Linked DNA regions of Styela clava. The protein of the gene in region 2 purifies or fractionates together with the protein of the main gene of each other region. This does not show direct contact. Links are inferred from orthologs where the notes say so. Each region holds a gene or a part of one and is shown on either strand. Other genes may lie near its edges.

What was found. Proteins that work in one complex are often made in the same cells at the same time.
Region 1: the proteins of nucleolar protein 56-like (region 2) and ribosome biogenesis regulatory protein homolog purify together in Homo sapiens (co-immunoprecipitation; 3 studies listed by BioGRID and IntAct, with this or other methods). This does not show direct contact. The link is inferred for Styela clava from reciprocal best matches to the Homo sapiens genes NOP56 and RRS1.
Region 3: the proteins of nucleolar protein 56-like (region 2) and uncharacterized protein LOC120330391 purify together in Homo sapiens (affinity purification with mass spectrometry; 6 studies listed by BioGRID and IntAct, with this or other methods). This does not show direct contact. The link is inferred for Styela clava from reciprocal best matches to the Homo sapiens genes NOP56 and NOLC1.

Annotation. Positions count from the first base shown.
Region 1 is NC_135263.1:4,727,852-4,735,574, reverse strand, and holds the start of ribosome biogenesis regulatory protein homolog, read right to left. Parts: upstream 3,014-7,723; 5' UTR 2,878-3,013; coding exon 2,714-2,877; intron 1,386-2,713; coding exon 1,313-1,385; intron 838-1,312; coding exon 799-837; intron 1-798. Other genes in the region: protein phosphatase 1 regulatory subunit 16A-like, read left to right, coding at 5,964-6,028, 6,548-6,732. UniProt on the Homo sapiens protein: Involved in ribosomal large subunit assembly. May regulate the localization of the 5S RNP/5S ribonucleoprotein particle to the nucleolus.
Region 2 is NC_135258.1:15,344,981-15,352,536, reverse strand, and holds the start of nucleolar protein 56-like, read right to left. Parts: upstream 3,020-7,556; 5' UTR 2,866-3,019; coding exon 2,863-2,865; intron 1,350-2,862; coding exon 1,151-1,349; intron 518-1,150; coding exon 344-517; intron 1-343. UniProt on the Homo sapiens protein: Involved in the early to middle stages of 60S ribosomal subunit biogenesis. Required for the biogenesis of box C/D snoRNAs such U3, U8 and U14 snoRNAs. Part of the small subunit (SSU) processome, first precursor of the small eukaryotic ribosomal subunit.
Region 3 is NC_135261.1:11,303,012-11,310,602, reverse strand, and holds the start of uncharacterized protein LOC120330391, read right to left. Parts: upstream 3,014-7,591; coding exon 926-3,013; 3' UTR 1-925. Other genes in the region: flap endonuclease 1-like, read right to left, coding at 4,290-5,426. UniProt on the Homo sapiens protein: Nucleolar protein that acts as a regulator of RNA polymerase I by connecting RNA polymerase I with enzymes responsible for ribosomal processing and modification.

The sequences.
Region 1 (7,723 bases), on a different chromosome or scaffold from region 2:
ACAAGGTTATCTCTGCAATTATTAATAGATGACAGTTGAAAAAACTTGAAACAATTCAAGTTATCCCTGTCAGAAAAATAACTAAGTGGAAACTCTACAAAGCAGAAGTTTTTACATACAAAATGATCATTGACAAGCGGACAATGGCTTTATTAATACAAATGACTAATAGCCATAACTGATATTGGCATCCTTATCAGTGATGAGATGGAAAAATTGTAACAACCAGTATGTACCTAACTTGTGAAAACGTACTATGACCGTAACAAACCGTACAGTTATTAACTAAGTTAAACGGGACTCCCCATGACATAATTTTATTCCAACAACAGGAGCGCAAATGCCATTAAATGTTTAACAACCAAAACTAGGTAGCCTACCGGTGCGTTTCGGCTGCAGCTCACCACTGATCCTTATGCAAACATAATCAAAATTCAATTGATCTGAGTTTGAATTGCAACCTGTTTACAGCCCTGTTCTGAGCAAAACGTCTCATTTGATTTTCAAACAAGATTGTAAACTCAAGGTTAGATTTAAATTAATCATGAGAGTATAGTGCATCTAGAAGTGTGTGTACCAATATGGAGGTAACTAATTTTGTTTGCCTACTTTACATCAAGTTGTGTAAAGGGACTGAAACCTATGGGCAGGGGGTATATCTACTTGTCTCACACGGACAGTCCTGAACTCGTAAAAGAACTAAAATAAGAAAAATCAGAATAAAATTATGGCCTAACCCTAACCTGGTACACATGCTACGGGAATGCCCATAACAAATAATTATTTTTTACATTATACCTTGGCAACTATGGCTTCTTGTACTCGTTCAACTGGTAACTGTAAAACAAAAATAGCAATTATTAATTTTACAACATTATCAATGAAGCACTAATGTTGCCATTTATCCTTCATTGATATTCAGGTTAAAAGACGAGATTGAAACTTTTTACACTACAGATTAAAGATGACCATAAAAGAATCAAATTCTGATATGTCAGAACCCAAATCACATTACTAAGAGTCCGATTTTATATCACCAGGACCAGACTCCACAACAGTGATTTCTTTTCTCAATAAAATCAATAGGATAGGGGAGGATTTATATATTTATAACACAGCTTAATCATATGGTGAACCACACCCTTCCGTCCGGTTACCAGTCCATGTCGGGTATGGGAATAGTTTAGTTAGTCAGTTATTCGTTTTCGGATGCATGGACTTGATTACCCAATTCAAAATCATTCAAGTATAATAATTATTTAGTATTGCCAATTCTCTGTTGCAAATATTAAAACAAAAACAACTTTCTCACTTTCCATATTTCATTAAATAGCAATTGTGTGTTGTCTCTTGTTAGTTTCTTGATGTAGTCTTCTGAATTTTGCCTGAAAAAAATGATTGAAAACTGATAATTTGTATGACTACAAAAACTAGGCACACATTCAGTAAACACCGTTCCCTTATATGGCCAGTTGATGCGAACGGAATGTGCGATTATGCAAAGGACCAGTGCCAAGGGAGCTGATTAGAATTGGGAAACACTAAAAAGTGGCGGCTTGTAAACATGGCTCAAAAATTTTATATGAAAATGATGCTGGGGTTGTTTAGAGCCAAATAGCATTCTAAACCAATTTATTTTAATTAAGTTGAGCAGGTGGGTCTGGTATAGTACAAGGGATTAGTTCAACAATTTTTGCATATGTAATTCCTACCCCCCATTTGACTACGTCATCCAAAAATTATGTCACCATGATGACTTCACTGTAACACGTTAAGACACGGAAAAATACACGAACAGTTATTCCCACCGTGTAGATGCTTACCCTAAACCGAGAAAGCTTTGTCGTCGGGTAGTGTTGGGAATAAAATATGCAAAAATAGTTATTCCACGTCCACTAGAAGTACTAAAGAGGCACTAAACTACACTAGACCCAAGGTCATTTTGCGAGATTTATTATGCTGACGATTCCATTTTGTTTATTGTACAAAAGATCAATTCATGATGCAAATTTGACAAGTTACTGAGCTAGCAAATGGTATAAAAATGCAACTATCCTCAAAAAGAGAAAAACGTGCAACTTAGACAGTAAATTCCTGGAATGAGATTGAGTAATTCCATAACTATAATCTGCTTGGCAATACATTTTTCATAAAAGTTCATCTCTACTGTTCACTCCCATTTATAAAATCTATCAATTCGGCAGTGGCAAACGTTATAAATTTATTAATATGGTGTGGCAAGTAATTTTTATTTATTTTTTTAAATTACCCGTATGTAATTTATAACTTCTGTATGGTTGTGAGTGTGGGTGCGTGTGAGCGTGTGTGAAATATTCCCATTATTTTAGGTAAGTGAACACGTACCACTTTTTCTTGGCAAAACCTTCCATCTTGTATACATTCTGTACGTTTTAAACCTTATCTAAGGTTTTGTTTGCTCTCCTGATTTCATAATCATCATTTTTTTTACCAATCATTTTATTGTTATGCTGATTATGGAGTCGAAATAAACGTATACTTAAATAGATAGGTATGTAGTTTATCAGTTATTTGTAAGTATAAGTTTAATATAACTTGATTATACCAGTACAAGAAAAATCTGGTATTGAGAATCAACAGCAAAAAAAGTAAAGAAACAAAATTGTTCTTCCATATACTGTTTACTTTAAAACTTGTTCACTAATACAGCAGTATAATATTAGATGTATCTTACTTGAAAGCTTGTGAATCCAGTAAATTGGAGTCCGTTGCAATAAGATTTCCCAGGTCGAATTCGAGGTCAATATCTTTCTCAACAGTGATAGATTTTAATTTTTCTTTCTCCTCTTCAGTTATATTTTTTAATAGTTGTGACGCATCCGCAGCAACTTCCTCCATTTTGTGTAAAATTGAATCACAAAATGACGAAAAAACGGCGAAATTTAGCAAGACAGATATTAAAACTTTGTCGATTTAGGGAAGGGTTACCAGATTGGAGTAAATCACATTTGACATCCTTGCAAAATTTTTACTAAAAGTAACATTATAAATTTTTGATAAGTTTCCAAAATTAAAAAAAAAAAAATACAATTATGGAAACATCAATTTTATGCAAGTCTGTTGGGGATTTGTTACTTAATTGCAAATTTAAAAAATTTAAATTTCTGTATATCTGACAACTATCAAAATTACATGCTACAATTATGACCACCGATGCGTATCTTTTGTCCGACAATTAGTTTTACTTTTAACAGATTTTTTACAAATTTTTACGTTCTAATTGTACAGTTTTCGCAATACTTCATTTTTTTCGATAACTAGAAAGTTAAAAAAATGGGTTTAAATAGTTTTAAAATTTTGCACCACAAAACAAATTTTATGGCTCTTTCATAAATACCCATGGGCGTCATCTCGCGGATGTGGTTTATGCCAAAATTTTGTCTCTTCGTTCTCATTTCGTGAGAGTTGCTCGCTTTGCAACGCCGCACTTGCTAATCTGTTTGCTAGCGGCTTGGTCGATGGCTTGGTGCATCTCGTCACGACCTGTTTTTGAAAGTTATATAATTTTTAGAGAACACGTTTTCGTTACTAGATTTTAAATTAGGGTTGAGAAGTTTATATTGCAATTCATCAGAATGCTATGCTCGCAGTGCTAAGCTTGAGTGTTCACTGGTTTAGTGGATTTGAAAACCAAATTGGACTTGAGATCGCAGAATTTATTAACGAAATTGTGAATCATTAAGACGATGACGGCACTTTAAAAAAATTTGTATTCAAACCTTAGGTCTAATCAACTTGAGAAGATAACAAAGACAGAAAATAAAAATTTATAAATAATTATATAAATAATATTATTTATAACAATTTTGTTAGTCTTAATTAACCTTAAATCTATTTCTGTATCCCAAAAGATATTGCCTAATATTCAGATATTGCATTTCGTTTTCAGGTCTTAGACTAAAAGGATTGCGTCCTAGGCAGTTTTTATCATTGAAAAGATACCGCTTAGTTCTTTCCAATGTAGTCTAATTGAAGCCATTTAAGCATTTTTTTAGGATTACATGATTAATGGCCTAAATTGATTTTTAGATCAATATCCATATATTACAAAATGTCTATATTAAATCTTTTTGCAATATTTTTATTTATTTTGAATTAATCATTCTGACTTTTAAAATAAATTTAAAAATCAATTCCGCTTGTCTTTGGCAAAACCTTTCAACTTATATTTTGTACGCTTTGAACATTACCTAAGGTTTTGTTTGCTATCCTGGTTTTATAATCAGTTATCAATTAATTATCTTATCATTTGTTATGCTGATTATGGAGCCGAAATAAACTTAACTCATATAAATAATAAAAAATAAATAAATATCCTAGAATGCGCACTTCAAGTCTCGTCAACTGTCTCACCTTTCAAATACTTGATCTATAATCAATAGCTCATAAGCATTGGAGTGAACGTAATGTGAAGTAACATGATAGACTTTTGTTGTTCAGTTATGCATATAAATCAATTTAAACCGCAAAGTATTCTTGTTAAGAGGGTAATTACGCTACAAAGTTTAGATTTCAATACAATGCATTTGTAACTTACGCATGGAAGAAAATAGATTTTCTGGAACTGTGTTGTGTGCAAAGAAGTTTTATCTGGTTTCTATTAGATAGTAGCATTAGGTGCGCGCTTGCTCAGGTTGGCGGGTTCAAACAATATTTTATGCTGATAATCGTTTTTTTTTAATTCAACTAATTATCCTTTTTCTATGCCCTAGAGGCGGTCAATCTGTATTATCCATGTATGCTGAAACAAGAGTGAAAATATCTATTGTGGGTTATTCATAGAGTATTGCAACTAGAAATTTGAAACACTTGCAACATTTACAACTGATACTTTAGTTTATTCTATTTCTTAAAGGAACTTTTCAAATTATATTCATTTTTCACGATTTTTCATACCAAATCCTAGGGGTATGAGTATGACCCAATATATTCCATTTCAACTGAATTTTAATATTCTTAAACGTTTAATAAATGTAGTATTCAATAACACTTACAGTTTAAATTACTATTTAATAGTATGGTTTAATCATCTCGGAGAAATTACCAAATTGCATTCAGTTCCCTTAGGTCGTTTTCAGCTGAGCAAGGTTTTTATTGATGCATCTATTCCCTTCTAATTTGTCTCTAGAGATATTTTCTAGACTTGTTGCTTAATGATTAAGAATCGATTATCTAGAAACGATTGGCCCAGAAGAAAAATTGGAATAAACATTAGTCTACGTATTAGTATTACTAAGAATAAGTTAGAATATTTCACATGATATAAAAAGCAACAGTTTTGTATCTTCTAAGTAAATGAGTTTGAAAGTGCAGATTAGAGGAAAATGTCATTTTTGTCATTATTGTAGTCCAGTCTGTTTGGTATGAATCTTATTTTAATGTGGTAGTCAATGAAGTGGAACCATGCAGCTCTGCTACACATTATTTAAGATGGTATTATTCTGGCGAGCTATGCTTCATTGATTTCGAATGGTTGAGTCCTGAGTTGTATTAATTCATCAATTTTTTTAAGTAATGGGAAATTGTCTTCTTGTCAATATAATAATTACTCAAAGAGACAGAAAAAGATATTTTGATATATTTTTGTATTACGAATATCATCAAGTATTTCTTAGTTTATAGGATGTCATATTGTGTGTCACTTTCATTTCTACTCTTTGTCATTTCAAGTATTCAGTACATTTCGATCAAATTTAGGCTTTGTATGCCTAAAATGGTATTATGACAATCCATTTCGGAAAATCTAATTTACTTACTGTATTTTATATCCAGGGCCCTACTTTTAACTTTAGTTCGTGCAAACCAGAAACTGTTTTCCTCATTTTTCCAGCATAGATTAGGTGAATTATCATACTTTAATAGCAATGCAATCTAGCTACCTAGGCAGGTAATTATAACCTTCGTTCTGGAATGTACTTTGAGAAATGGTGAGCCATGCAAATCTTGTTGCAGAAATTGATTACGTCAACAGCATGTCAACTGAAGACAGGTAAAAAAGTTTTTTGTGTTGATATAATGAGGATTTAATTTTTCTGTGTGTGCAACCATGGCATTATATTTAAATAATGAGCAAAATATCTATCTGGAGAAAAGCATTATCGGCCAGGTAGTGTGACTCATTGTAATAAGCATTAGAAATATGCTCGCCACCGCACCTCTGATTACTCTGCATTGCTTCGCACTTTCGAATCTTGTGGGGGATGATTATTAAAAGAAGATTGCTGAACTCCTTGCCGCCGTAAGGTGGATCACATAACCGCCAAAAGTCAAGGAGACTCATCTCTACAAAGTTATGGTCACACCACTGAAAGAGCTAATAAAACTATATTGAAATAGGGGTAGCGCATTGGATGCTAGCCATTGGCGTGAGATGTGAAGGGGTTCAATTCAATACGACCAGAAAAACTGCTATTGCATGGGGAATTCCTTTTCCACTAAAGTTATTTTGGCATATTTTTGTCATATTATCAGCATTTGACATTATTTCTAACAAAAATATATTTTCAAGGCTGATCCATGCAAGGCAACGTCGACAAGAACAACTTCAGCGTTGGAAAGAATCCGAGCTTGAATATGAAAAAGATAAGGCAGGATTACCAAACGGACAAATAGCAAATGATAACAAAAGATCAGTTAAATTTGGAGATAGTGTTACATTACTTGAAGCTGCCGCTCGAGACGATGTAGATGAAGGTAGAACACCTTGTATTATGCAATAATTCCCACTTCATGCATGTAAATTACACAGACTAACAAGATGTTTGATTAAGGATCAAATTAAAGTCCTAACCATGCAAGCTGAAAATGAAAATATAATGAAATGGAAGATCAGTTGGCATGCATTTAGTCGAGTTTATTTTTCCAGCCAGTAATAAAAAAGAGTGATATTAAAAGTCAAAACATAATGAACTGATTTGGGAAAATAATATTGCATGTGTAATAATGGCTTTAAATGATTGTGACTTTTTTCCCAATTTGATACGAACCTATATAAAGTACCTTCGCTATACTGCTTTCTATCTCCCGCAGCATGTCTATACTTTTGGAACCATAAATTTGGTATTTGTCCCCAGTGGCGCAACCAGGCTGTTTTCAACGGGGGGGGGGTCCGACCGGAATTTACACAGTGCAACCACGACGTGAGTCGCAACGCCACTAGGTGTCGCCCCGCTGACCACGATAAATTGCTCATGGTTAAAAGGGAAACGCCATCGATTAAATCCCAGCCTTTCGCTTACCTTGCACTCGTTCATTAACGGCGCTTCGCTATGTCTTGCACCTCGTGGGTAGCAAAACGCCGTTCATTACATTCCAGCGAATTGCTAACGAAAAGCTGTTAATTATTTTCAACGTTTCCCTCGCTTTGCGCCTCGTGGATAGTGAAACACGGCTTGAATAAATTCCAGTGTTTCCCTCGTGCCGCGCCTTGCTCGTTGGGTGAATTCGTCAACACTAAAAACAAAATGCACTTCTTGCGAATGGACCTTTTCCCGACCCTAACCCCGGAAAAATTCTAAACTAAACTGAAGCTCACCGGAAGACATAATGACAATTAAAATAATTGATTTACAACTAATTTTTGGAAACACCACTAAAAACTGACTAATTTAATGCAGGGATGTCCAAATCGAATTTAAATTCAAATACTGTTTTTTCGTGTTTATAATAATCCCGAATATGGCGC
Region 2 (7,556 bases):
GATTAATTTTCTCTAGAACGCAACATAAACCACATCTACAAACATGGGTTTATACTGAATTAAGGACAAGAAGGGTCTCCATTCTTGAATACAATTTTTTCCCCAAGCTTGTCATTTACTTCGATATATGGTGAATTTCATACTAAAATATTGGACACTAAGAGAAGAGGCTGATGAATATTGCTCATCCAAAAATCCTATAAATAGAATCAAAAAACGTGACTTCTCGATTATAACAGTATCAAGTTAAAAAATTAATGACACTTGAGGCAAAACAACTAACTATTTTACGAAAAAAGTCGAAAAAGGGGTTTCGGTCCTAAATTCTGTCCTTATACTTTACCCCTGAATATTTCTGTTACAGCGTCCCCAACTGCACATTTGATTCCAAGTTCATCCTGTATTGTTGCCGTTATTCTTGTATCAGACACACCAAGTTCGAACCCTGATTTCTTTGCTTTTTTACCAGTTGGAACATTAGTTTCCAGAAACAATTTCAAATCATCATGAACAATACCTAGAAGAAGATATTATTATGAAAAGAAGGTTAACAAAGTCATAGAATTTTGAAATAAGAAGTCATAATATACGTAATAGAAATATGCGTAAACATGCCGAATTTGGGTATATTTGATAAAAGAAATGTTTTATTGTTAGGAAGCAAAAGCGACAGGTTTTTAGAATTTCTTGGAGATGTTCAATTTCTATTTGAAATGATGCAGAATAGATTAATCTATTAAAGTGGGTAATTTCACCACTCAAGTCAGTCAGTGGTCGTGGTATGCCATATGCTCAAGCAGTCTTATCAGCTTTACCATTGTGATTGTGTAAATGAGTAAAATATGGTTATGATTTGAGCTTACTATAATACTTAACCATTTATTTTCAAAAAGGGCAAAACCAGGATAATAAACAAATGAAAGAGGTACGATTCATCAGATCACATGCATTTGACACAAAGAAAACAGTAAAGAACAACACTAAGAAAATCAGATTCAAAACTGTTAAGTCTTCTGAACAATGAAGCATTTCATGCATTCTATCAGAGGGTCTGGATAAACAGCCAATGGTTTGTATAAAACAACTATCGTTCTTCTAGGTATTGGTCTTTAGTTTGGCATAGGAATAGCTGGTAAGAGTGTATACTAACCTTCAGAAATAGCGTTAGCATTGTCCAGTGCATTAGTTCCCGACTTAAATGGAGAAAATGCAATCAATTTAACAATGGTCTTGAATAGAGCGACATCTGTGATTGCTCTCTCGACTGTCGGCAACAGTGCTCCAACTTCTTCTACTTCTTGCACATGAAACAGCGAATATCCAGTTGCGTGTTCGTACAGAATGTACAACTGAAACAAACAAAATTGTTTAGAGAATAATGGGTACTCCTGAAGTATGCGCACCAAGCTGTCGCACAACCTGAACCCTAACCTGGAACACAACTTGACTTCAGGTTGTGCGCCATCTTGGTGCGCATAGGTTGGTGTAGCCAGTCTGCGGACGATTTCATTCAAACCGCTATAAAACAAAAACCAATATTTCAAACCCGTTAATTTTTTCACCGTAGGTGCATTGGCATTTATTCTACACGCTGAACTTCGAATTAACTTTCTACGACCAGGGGTTAAAGCTAAACAAACCACCAAAGTACGAGACTCTGAAGACGTATTTGCGACCGAACGACCAGTGTGCGATCACGGATTACAAGCCTTGAACATCGTTTCTGCTGCGTCGAGACTAGGGCATACGCAGCCATGCGTGAAAAAATGGGCTTCTAATTGCATTTCTGACCGTCATATATTTTGAGAACACGGTTATTTCGAACAAAATTCTTCAAATTATAAACAAAGCACCGCATCACAGCAATCAAACAGACAAAAACACGGTGGTCGCAAATTAGTTGACAAAGATATTATTGACGTATTGGAAATGCGCACCCCCCTACTTTGAATGTAGAAACGCGAAACTTTAAAGATGGTTAAAAGCAACACAACTCTACCCACCTGCCAAGTTTCATCTCTTTATCTCTTATATTTGTATGGATTTTCAAGCTTTTTTAAAGGAACAATGGGTAGTTGGCGACATGGTAAAATGGTCTGTTTTTTTTCTTCGGTCAGGTTTTCGGTCTTAACTTTTTTATTTGTGGCCGCATTTTAGTGTAATTTCGCCGAGCTACGAGGGATAAGTGGACGATAACGCGTGAGAAATATCGTCGCGGTTCGTTAATTTTTTCGACATTAATTCAATCGATGAAGTTGATGGTCGCAGATAGGTCATGGCCGCAAAGTGGGTAAGCCACCCTACTTCAGGAGGTCCGAATAATGATTGTGAATTCTGGAATTGTCTCAGTTTGTGAAACCTCAAGATTCGGGTTGTCAAAATTGCTTGGTTTATCAACTTTTTAACATCTATTTAAACTTATTTATAATTAATTGTCTTCAAATAAAGGGGTTATTTTTGAAATCGAACCACTGTGATGTACTGCCCATATATATTCCAGTTATCTGGTTATTGCTTATCGGTTATCAGAGTCTGACAGTCCAGAAGGATGCAGGTATATAAATGATTATATATTTGGCAGACTATAAGAAAATTATTATAGGCCTACAACCACACAATCAATATAAGCAAACATGTTGCTGTGTTACCGTACCGGTACGGTACTAGTTACGTTCATGTTTTGTAAGTTCTTAAGTTGGCCTACCGCGGCGAAGAGACAGGCAACAAAATATTCTATATAAATTTCACCACTAGGCCTACACTCTGAAATATAAAAACATATTCACATAATTTTATTTGTATTAAATAATACTACGTCAGTACATCCTATTACTACAATTTCGGTAAACTAAATGTACTTACCATTTTGCAAGAACTTGTTGTCGCCGTTCGCAGCAACAAATACGTCTGTCTGCTCGCTGAGACCACGAGGAGATTTCGACCGAAAAATCGTTTATTATTTATTATTTACGTAAACCCAGTTACATATTCATTTATATATTTATACATTTATATAATAAATGAATAGGGTAAAACAATCAGATAATTTTTTTATTTCAATATTTTTTTTAAAAAGAATATAAACCAATAAGACAACGTAATCCTATGTAATTTTGTGCAAATGGATTGCGGAGAATCATCAAAATGGATGTTTCCCCGACCCTTGACCCAAGAATTTTTTTCTAAAGTACATACAAGATACAATGCACATTTCTGATGCTCATGTTGAGAGTATTTTGAAAAATTGGCGCTTCAAAACCATCATTTTTCATAAATGTATTTATCCAAATATCGCTTGCGGGTATTGATAGCTAGTTTTAGCCCAGTCTCGCTGGTGTGGTACATCGTGCTGAGCGTTAGGAATATGCTCGCCGCGAACCTCTGATTACACCGCGTGGGTTCGCAGATCCGATCTCATGCGGGGATAGTTATGTGCGAAAGGATTGGTGGACTCATCGCCGCCGTAGAGTAGTACACGTAATCTCTGGTAGGTTAAGGCTTTCTCTACCATCAAGTCCATGCCTCTAAAAACAAATAACTGACTAACTAATCCCCTACTCCGACATGTAGGCTACTGGTAACTGAACGAGTGTCCGTGGTTCGTCATATGATTAAGCCGTCTTATCGGCTTTCTTATTCTCGGGATAAATATGTATATCCCATTGCAGCCCTTTTTTTAGAAAATTTACTAAATATACAAAAACTCATCTGAAAACAAAATGACATTCAAGTTACTTGATTTACTAGAGATGAATTTGATTTAAAACTAATCTTTGGACACACAACTAAAAACTGACAAACAACACCCAAAACCCCGTAAAAATGGCAATGTTTACATCCATAGACGTGTATATATAAAAAATTTCTGAGCTACTGCACTAATTGCTAACTTATTGGTGATTAGTTACTGTTGCAGAAATATACAAGGAAATAGACGCTCTGGGAAACAATCATATCACGTGCCGCTGGTTTTGCGTAGCTCGCTCTCTTTTGGTATTTTGTTTCAGCTAAAAATTAGCTCAGGGAATTTGTTGAGATTGCAATTAAACTTAGTTTTAGCACGAGGCTTATTATTTTCCAATTTTGCTTTTGTAACACTGTAAATATTGTTCATAAAATGTAACTTTTGACGTCACACTTTCATGGCCCGCCAGTCTAGATGATCAAAATATTTGACCCCTGGTACAAACCCCTTGCCCACCCCTGTTTTAGACACATTGTCTATTCGGAACGAGAAAATACATTGAACAAGGGTTGTAGCTTTTTTAATGGACATAGCGAGAAAATATTTTAAGAGAATTTGCTCAATACCAGTTCACCCGCACTCATTAAGAAGTAAAGGAGACTACTTTTGAGTATTATTACGCGTAAGCCCTGAACTGCCAAGAGCAGAGCCGGATTTAGACAATGAGAACCCTAGAGTCCAGAGGTAGGCAACAACCCCTGATTTATCCGATGAAACTTGGTGTATAATAAATTTCGTGGCAGCAAAAAAATTGAAAGCGAAAAATGATTATACCTTAGAGTTGAGTTGGTAAATAATGGAAGAATGCGATAAAAGGAGGGAATACAAGAGAGAAGTGCAGAAAAAGAACTATTGCAGATATGGATTACCATTCTTGAAAATCTTCCGTGCTTGAAAAATTTTGCAACTGCATTACTCTTTATGTTTTCATCAGCATATGGTTGTGTATCTCTGTTCCCAGTTATGAACTTTATTTTAAGTTTTGTAATAGGATTAGCCAAACTGATGAAACTAGTAGTTGGTGTACTTCTCGGAAAGTTTCAAAATATAGACCTGATGTAAAATCTCAGTCAGTGGTAAAGCAGCAGCAGATGTCACACTGATGTGGCATGAAAAAAGTAATAAAATCATTTTGTCAGATTGTTATTTTATTAAAAAGTAACTCAATATATACTTGTGTGAAAGTGTATGTTTTTCTTTGTCGATAATGCTTATTTTGGCACGCAAACTGAAAAAGGTTGCCCACCCTTGCACTATAGATTATGCTATTTATCAGGACCCTCTAACAATAACGTCACAACCAAGGTTCCCTCTAAGCTGCCAACCGCGCAATTGCGCAGTATCACTAGAACATTTGCGCAGTAAAATCTCATTCTCGCGCAGTTGCAACATTTCGTTTTCAAATCGTGGCTCATATTTCATATGTCATATTTATTACCGCTCAACTAGAATGCTCGTTTTATGTTTCACGCGTATTCTGGTAAACACTAGTCATTGTGATGTCACACACCTGTCTGTTACGAATACCTTAATTTTTGTATGCCAGCGTGGGTCAGTTTTTAAAATTTTCATCGCGCGCTCTGGATTTCGTGTTGTCGACCCGGCTAAATCTTGTTATTGTTCGTAGTGTAATCAAACAGATGAAGATATGAGAAAATTTAGAATTTTAATAGGTATCAAATGTTGCAAAGCTGGTGCCCATTGTTTGTTACAGGAAATTTGTTGGTTGCTCGTAGCCGTATGGTTAGGCTAATGAACCGTAAATATATGGTTAAACTAGTTGGAATTTCAAGAAGGGCTGAGTTTGAGCGAGTGCTAGCACTGTTGCCTCCTAAATCTCTAGATTGGTACACACGTGGCCATGAGCTTATACTGAATGATACCGATGTTATATAGCGATGTTGTGAGTATGTTTCACCAGAAATTACTAAAAAAAAATTTTAAGCGTTTTCATATTCAGCATATTAACCAAAACCAATAATATACTAGTTTTCTTTATCTGACGTTTGTGTGTGAAATGTCTATTCAGGGAAGTAAAGCTAAAAATAAGAAAATTCATTTTAAAGTGGAATGGCTAAATACAACAGTGAAGTGTTCGACACTCATTTGCGATCTTGATACCGGTATGCATAAGCTAAAACAACTGCTGAACTTTGCGAAATTTATTACTATTCCACGTCAAGGAATGTGATAATCCACAAAGTTTGTCGGGAAGTGGCACCTGTTAGTAATTTGGAAAAAGAAAATCATGGGAGGGAATAAGAAGTTGATTATTTAAAACGCCATTTGAATAATAAAAAAGCACATTGACGCACTAGATGCTTTAACGATTAAGCGAAACGTGGAAGCAAGAGGAGGTTGTTCGAACTTTTTCACCGCAATACCGACCGCTGAAGAAAGTGAAGTTTTGAAAACCCCATCAAGTGAAATGAAGCCTCACATAGATAGTGTTCCACCACGTTTTAAGCTTAATTCATCAATATTGTCCCGCAAATTAATAAATCGTCGCATGTCAACATACACTAAATTGCCACATTCCTGGTGAAGCAAAAATTATGGCTTCGAATTTTTGATAAGCATAGACTTTGTCGCCAGGGAAAAAAATCATTCGGAGCATAAGACAAGCAAAATTTCATTTCTGATTTTGATGAAAGCAATGATATTTCAACAACAAAAATGTCGAGATCGTACATCAAGTATTGTTCTTTGGATGATTGTCGCTTGATTCAGCAATAAACAAAACAAACACGGACAAAATGTATAAACCTTGTAAAGGCATGAAAACAAAAAAAGCTATTTGAGTTAAACGTGTGCTTTGTTCGCATTCCGATGATATATAATAAGCTACTATTACTACATTTAACAAATTTGCAAATAATTTAGGATTCTGCTCAGCCTTAAAATAGTCTTGTTCAGTAAAAACAATATTTGCGCAGTGTGAAATTTTCTTAGAGGGAACACTGGTCACAACTAATCCATTATGACATGGTAGTAGACGTTTTCGTGTTAGTTATAAATTTGATGAATGTGATAAAGGACGTCATGAATAAAATTGCGTGAAATACAAAATTTCAACTACGGGTAAGTTACGTACGATAATCACCTAAGTAGATTGGATAGTAAAATGAATTTAAAAACACTCTGTCAAACTCATACAGTAATAAAACGTCATGGCGGCAGAAATCGGACGTATAAATAAATGTTAACATCCGTTTATTGTCTCGAGAGGTGGGAAGGCATGGTCCCCTTGCCGATAAATAAAACATACTAATAATTAAATATAGCTTTATATTTTTTCGAACGGTTCTGCGATAAAAAAAAAAAGACCAGAAATAGTCAAATATATCCTAATTTTTTAGGTTAATTGTTGCTTAGATAAATTAGTATATATATATATAGCTAGATATTGATATTTCATAATTTTTTTTTCAAAATATGAAGGCATTATGGTAAAACTGTTAAACTTAAACTGTTTCACTTTTAAATTTAAGGTAGAGTTTTTCAAGTTTAAACGAATTCATTTAGTCAAACGTATTTGGTCTCTACCCGTTTGAACGAATAATCTTTGTGGCAAGAATTATTGACCCGATTAAAAAAAAATTAAGCAAATTTCAGTTTCATGAAATTTAATTAGGTTTCATTCTGGAACAAGTCTTTACAATTTAAAATGATCCCCAGGCTTCAGTCCACCTTGCCTAATGGTAAATCCGCCACTTAACACAGACTCATGGCGACGCATCACGCACCATAATATCCCAATTGACGCAATACATGAATAACCACAAGTATAGGCGATCAAGAAATAGTTACA
Region 3 (7,591 bases), on a different chromosome or scaffold from region 2:
AAACCAAAACGCTGACTGTGTCATTCCTAACCATTCTTAACAAATGAAATTGTACCATGATTGCTAAAACCTCCATTGGAAAAAGCAGCTCATTCAACTCTAACATTAATCTATAGTACTGGTCGAGAGATTGTGGACTCAGACAAAGCCAGGTAAATAAATTATGTCATAAATGATAAATCAGGTGACGAATCATTAAACTATTTGAGTTGAGCAAATAAGAAAACTTCAAACTCAGACTTTATCAAACTGTCAGCTCACATTTCAAATAAACAAAGCTGTTAAATATTACAGCACCAGACACACAATATGATTTAAAAAATGAAAAGGTGGAAATGGGGCAGATACAGACCGTATGAAAAATTTTAAACATCAGCTCCAATTCGAAGAAATAATAAATTCATGTATATCAAATATGGCAATGGGTCCCGGATGAAACACACAGTTAGTAAAAATAAAAACCATACTAAGGATAAAATCCACCAAACACCAAGATATATTTGGTCCCAAACTAAAGCACATTTGCTCTCAAGTCCCAAGAAAATCAAGATAATAAAACAAAGGTTTAACCAAGAAATACTACCCTTCAGTAAAAAAGGTTTCTAAGTTCAAAAATTAACCCCAGGCAGACTCATGGACACTGTGACAAAAATGTAAGAATTTCATATCATGGGATTATAATTCATATAATCAATATGTTATGAGTAATTGACAATTGTGAAAATTAGACATTATTACAGATTAGATCAATTCATCAAATTGAGCATTATTTTTTTTAACTGTTCAAAAAAAACTTAATGAACCACCATATATAGCCTCCACTTTAAGTGATGTATAGGATACATACATGAACCGTTCATAATTTTTTTGTAACAATCCTGACTCATATCTGATATTGTTCAATGCATACATGATCACCTAAACTTTATTTCGATTTTATGGTCCCTTTTTTTTTATTGTTTGTGGTTTTCTTTGACTTTATTTCCAGTTTTTTCTTTTTCGCTGGAGTAACAGATACTACTTTAGAAGATTGATCGTCACTAGAAGAATCATCAGAAGAAGAATCTTCACTACTGCTACTGCTTGACGAAGCTGACTTCTTCCTCTTCGTTCCAGCTGCTATAGGAGTAGATTTTGCAACAGGCGTTCTTTTTAAAATGCTTGTATTAGCGCTAGGTTTTGCAACCAAATTTGCTTTCTTTTTATCATCTTCATCACTAGAAGAATCATCATCAGATGAAGATGATTCTTTTGTTTCAGTTTTATTTATCGTAACCTTTTTTTCATCTTCAGATGTATCATCTTCATCTGAGGAGGAAGATTCTTCTTTCTTAATAACTTGTGGCGTATTTTTTACCTCCGGTTTCTTTGCAGATTTTGCATCCTCCTCTTCACTGGAATCATCACTATCAGTATCCTCTTCTGATGATGAAGAATCTTCCTTCTTTTTGATCTGAGCCTGAACAGGTGCTGCCTTAGGCTTCTCATCTTCTGAATCTGAATCACTGCTTGAATCAGAGGTTCCGGAATCTTTTGTTTTTGTTACTGAAGTATTTGTTTGCTTTGGTTTCTTCTTGTCATCATCTTCAGAAGAATCTTCTGAACTATCTGATGAGGATTCTTTCTTAGTATTTGTGGGTTTTGTTACTTTAGCATCTGCCTTTTTCACATCCTCATCTTCACTGGATGAATCCTCATCCTCACTTGAAGATTCTTTTTTAGAAGTTTTCAAATTGGTTTTCTCACTTATTTTTTTTTCTTCTTCCTCATCACTAGAGGATTCATCTGAACTTGACGATTCTTTTTTATTAGCAACTGGTTTGACAACTGCTTTCAATTTTGTTTCCTTTGGTTTTTCCTCGTCTGATGACTCTTCTGAGCTGCTAGATGAGGATTCTTTTTTCGAGTTAATAGCAGGTGCAGTTTTCTTTATAACAGGCTTGGTTTCTTCTTTTTCATCATCACTAGATGTGTCTTCAGAACTTGAAGAATCTTCCTTTTTAGCTACAGCTGAAACATTTTTAGCATTTTTTGTTTCAACGTCTTTTTCTGATTCAGAAGATGATGAGTCAGAACTTGATGAATCTTTAGCTTTTATTGTCTTTGACACACTCATCGAGTTTTTAGAAACCTTCTCCTCTTCTTCACTGTCGCTGTCTTCTTCCGATGAAGATTCTTCCTTTTTCTGGTTCACTTTTGCTGGAGAAGTTTTTTTCTTTACTAAAAGTTTCTTTTTCGGTTCATCCTCAGAATCAGAAGATTCATCATCAGAGTCTTCACTGGAATCTGATGATTCTTTCTTTTTCACAGGTTGCTTTTTCACTACTGCAACGCTTTTTGAAGTGTTCTCCTCATCTGATGAATCTTCAGATGAGCTGGAAGATGATTCTTGTTCCCTTGTTTTCTCTAATTTACTCTTCTTTGGATCTTTCTTTCCATTCAACTCTGAAACTGTAGTTTTTACTAGATTCCCAGATGCGGATTTCTTATTTTTTTCATCGCTACTTGAATCTTCCTCTGAGCTATCCTCTTCAGAGCTAGATTCTTTTTTCTTATTATTTACAGTCGCTTTTACTTCTTTCTTTTTATCACTGTCTGATTCAGAATCATCAGAGGATGTATCCTCACTGGATTCAGAAGAATCCTCTTTCTTGGGGATAATTTTAGCCTTTTTAGCTGGAACTTTCTTCTCTTCATCGGATGATGACATATCACTTTCAGAGCTAGATGGTGGATCGGCTTTCCTTGGTCTTTTTGTAGTTTTTCCATTTGTTGTACTTGTTCCATTCGGTGTTTTTTGGTCTACTTGAGTTTCCTTCCATAATTGATATGCCTCTTTCAAAGTTGGTTGATCCGACTCTGGTAATTTAGTGTCCGTGATTTTCCGAAACTTTTTTGCCAATTTGGTCATTTTACGATCTATAAAATATTTATAAATCAATCGTTCAACGTCGCATGATTGCGCGGCCATCTTGGCAACAACTGAGCTCTTTTCAGTAGGTATATTTTTCATTGGAAAATTTTATTCTGAATTTTATTAATAAGCTGAAAAAAAAAAACAATATGCTAAGATTGTGAACAAAGCTGAAGCTAACAAAATATGATTGAGATAACTTTTTCAGAAGTGGGCAATGAAAGCATGTCTAAAACAATGTGTACAAAAACCTTATAAAAAGAGTCAATGTAATGGCAGTGAGGCAATCAAAAAGTTTGGCAAAGCACATAATAGGTTGACAACGAGATAAGCAAATGTTATGCAAGTACAGTAGAATTGAATGCTATATAAATATCAATAATGAATGATCTTTTCGAAATTCCAGTCCAACTGATAAACATTCTGAACAAAAATCTAATTTTTATTAATCTTGAGCACCATCTAGCGGAGAGAATGTATAATATGTATATTAAGTCAGCATCTGGCAATATATTTGAAAACCTTATTTTAAAAAGACCACTGAAGAAGATTTGTTGATATTATTTTTTACAGCATTCAATACAAAAATAATAAGGGTTTAAACTTCGAAGTTTAAACTTTTCATTGATCTCGAGCCAGGATATGCATATTTATTTAAAATGGAATTCTTGACAATGTATCACAAATACTACACAAACAAAAATGGATATGCTAAATTGCTAATAACAAATTATATCATTCAATGATTGTTTTGAAAGAAGATAAATGTTCATCCTGGGGTAGAGAGAACAAAAGACACAAGGCCGCTTATTTACATAAAGGCTGTGATTTGAAAAAAATCTAACTTTACGAGGAACAAGGTATGAAAAATAGTACAAAAAGAACAGTCTATTCAATAATGTGTAACAAATGAGTTGAAATGAGATTAAAACTTCAATTACATGAAGTTATAAGCAAGTTCTTTATTCAATAATATACCACTGATTTTAAATCTCATATTTCCTTATGAATGCAGCCCTAAAATGAGCATATATTCAAATTAAATGTGGCATATACCGCAAAGTTATACACAAATTAGGTGCCGAAGAGATAAGAGGTGTAGATTATTTATTCACCTGGGTATCCTGGCTTCCACAGAAATATTTTTGGAGTCCATAAGGTGGGAAAAAAATAGCAAAATAGCCGTTATTACAAAATAGGAACAAGTCTACTAACCAACAAGGTTACAAGGTAACACAAGACATTGTTCCCATAAATGAACATGTTCACTCGCTCTGTTATCTAATCAGACTCAATAAAAGTATTGATATTGATTATTCTTGAGTATCTTATGCATACACAAAAATGTTTTTGATATTGATTATTTTCTAGAAGATCATTTTCCTCGTTTGAATTCCTTTTTCACTTTCTTTGCAGGTGTATTCTTGCCCTTGGGATCAGATTTTCTTTTCACAGCTGGTGATGCTGATACTTTGACTTTGAAAAAGTCATCCAGACGGCCTTGTGTACTTTGCTTCTTACTATTCATTAACTTCTTGATTCCATTTCGAATTCTATCTTCACTGAAACCTTTTTCTTTGCACATAAACTCGATGAGTTTTTCTTCATCTGGTTCTTTCCATTTAAGTTCAATGTCATCACATGGAGAAACATCAGGTTCAATAAACAATGATCTTGCTTGAGCAAATGCCCAATCTTCTGGTACTGTGTACTTTTTCTTGTCAATATTCCCCAAAATATCTTCAATTGTTTTATGTTGTTTGATGAGGTCATAGGCACGTTTAGGTCCAATACCTCTAATGGACCCGCAATAGTCGCAACCAAGTAAAATACACAAATCAATGAATTGTTCCTGTGTAATTTCCATTTCTTGAAGCACTTTTTCTAGAGTGAATTCCTGTATTGGCATTTTTCTTGCTTCGCTGAATGTCATATGTCGTAGAAGTCTATTGGATGCAAATGTAAGAGCATCCATATCTTCTGTGGCCGTTGCATAAACTTTTCCAGCTTTTACCAAAGTAGCACATTGTGCTTCTGCTTCAGTTGGTGCAGAGACGACAGGGACTCCCATAAAAGTAAGTAACTTTTTACAATCATCCATATGCTGTTTAGTGACTTTCACGAGTCGTCTTTGAAATTTGTCAACTTCTTCTTGCTCTCCTGCCTCTGTTGCTTCCGCAAGTTTCTTCTCAGCTTCCTCTCGTCTTTCCTTTCGCTTTTCGAGCTCACCAGACTTCATCTGAGGAGGTTTACCATCGAAGACGTAAACAGGCTTTATACCATTGTCTAACATTCGAATTGTACGATAAAACAATCCTGCAAGATGGCTAGTTACTTCTCCTTCATCATTTGTTAATTGATTTCCATCTTGTCTAATTGCAATCAGAAATTGATAAATGGCCATTGAGGCGTCAATCGCAACTTTTCGACCGAAGTAATTTTTAATGCTATTTTCTCTGACAGCAGATGGGGCTTTGTCGAATATCAACTTTGAGAGACCGAGAATTCCCATTATTCTGTTGTTATAAGACAACTGGGTAAGCTAAAATCTATAAAAAAAGACATTGAAAATGCTTTAAAATGGAAGCAGATTTTTTTCAGTAATTAAAATTGCAAGAGGTCCAAATGAAATGAGGTTCATGGAAAAGTCAGAAGTTTGATTTGACCATGCTGAGAGTTGAAAGCAGTGAATAACCATCGTCAGATAGTCTGCCCCCATTGCCCCAAATTTTTTAGATTAATTGAAAACAAGATTTGCACTAAAAAGTATGTTAGTTTTTCTCTAGTCAAATAGGCATTCAAACCAGAGGTTTAAACTAATCTTTTTTGAACCTGGCTAGTAAGCCCCAGTTCTGCAGTTGCTTATCTTTGTTAAATGTCACCCATGGCAAAGAAAATGCACTAGAAATGATTGAGTTTTAATTGTATTCAATTTTAAAATTATACTATTGAAACATGTTACAATTTAATTCCCCCCTCTCCCTGTCCAAACGAGGGTAGTTATGAAGATGCTAGGTCCCATATGTCGAATAAGCCATATACCTACCCTCCAAACGATGTCCATGGCACGAGCTAAAGCTGCCGTACCAAAAATCGACAACAAAATGGTCAATGTTATGGCTACTGTCACAAGCTAAGACAGTAAGATGTCGTTTAGTAGATTATATCATATTTATTTGTTGCATAAAACAGCTCCGCATGAAGCCTGATCACTCACATAGTGCAGGAGTTATTTTTTACCTAATTTACCCAATGTTGATGAAATCTATCTTGCAAGTACAGAAGTAGCAAGTAGGTATGTTTTTAAGTCATATGCCAGGTTACATTACATGGTGAAATTGCCTTGGCTGGTAGATATCTTTATTTGACATGTCTGCATGTTCAGATGTCAAAATGTTTATTTAAACCTCAATTTTTTAGCAACTTCTTGGAAGTTACTTCCCCAAATTTCGAGCAAATTTCAGTAAGTGTGTTGTCATTTTCAACCCACCATACTGCCATAAAATGCTGAAATGACAGAATGTGAAAATTGTCAAAAAAAATAATAATTTTGATGTATTTTGCTGTGATTGATAATATCACGACTGGCATATTAATAAATGTTACGACGCCGAATTTCTAAAATAAATGGGCAAATCGAATTTTGCCGTTTACTGGTCTACTAAGCTACAGGAGTGGCAGAGTGGTGACTCCACTACGGTCCATGGGCCGGCCCCATCAGGAAAAATTCAATTATCTTACCAAAATTTTCAATTTTCACAAAATTGTCAATATTCGAACCAAAAAAATATACTCCTGTAGTATGTGTACCAGGTTAGGGTTAGGACAAAAAAAATCCGATTTTTTACATTATAGCCTAGTTCTATCATGAGTTCGGGGACTGTCTGTGTTAGCCAAGTGAGTCGCGGCCCATAGCCTGATGGGCCGAGACCCAATTCTATGGGCCATGGCCCTGGCCCATGGGCCGCAGAGGAGTCACCACTTCCACTCCTACCAAGAGTCTGAAAGTCAGTGGTTCCATATCGGTACCGGTAACGTCTAACGATATCGGCACCTATCCATCCGAAGTGAATTGTAATTACTTATTAATCCACCAAGAGTCTGGAGGTCAGTGGTTACAGAACGTCTTCTGATATCGGCACCTATCTATTGGACGTGAATTCTACTCAATAAATCTGTGCAGGACAGGTCGTTTCAAACGTCTGCGAAATTGGAATAACCTCGTGCTTGAAGCTCATTTTCTGCATTTGGTAGAACTTGCACGTAACTATGAAAAACGCAGAGCGGCATCATGTGGAAAAGCTTTTGCGACCGTGGAACATTCGCGCGAACATGAGTACGTTGGCAAGAACGTAGAGACTGTAGAACGTGGCTGGTAGAATGAAGCAAGACGCAGTCAAATCGGAGCAGTGTCGACTGTAAAAACCTCGTTTCGATTCTGAGGTAAAACTTCTACAATACCATTTCGAGTAGATACGGTACCGGACATCAAAATTAGCTGTGAAACTTAGAAAAGTAGGATAGGATTTACATATTTATTCCGGGTGATAGAAATATAGTAAATTTTTTCGGGGTTATTTAGCCTTGTCGTGGGCTGTCAAGCGTGGAGTCGGTAACTAAGTAAGATTCTGATCCACTCGATCTTCATCAGAAGCGGTGGCGCAGGGGAAGCGTAGC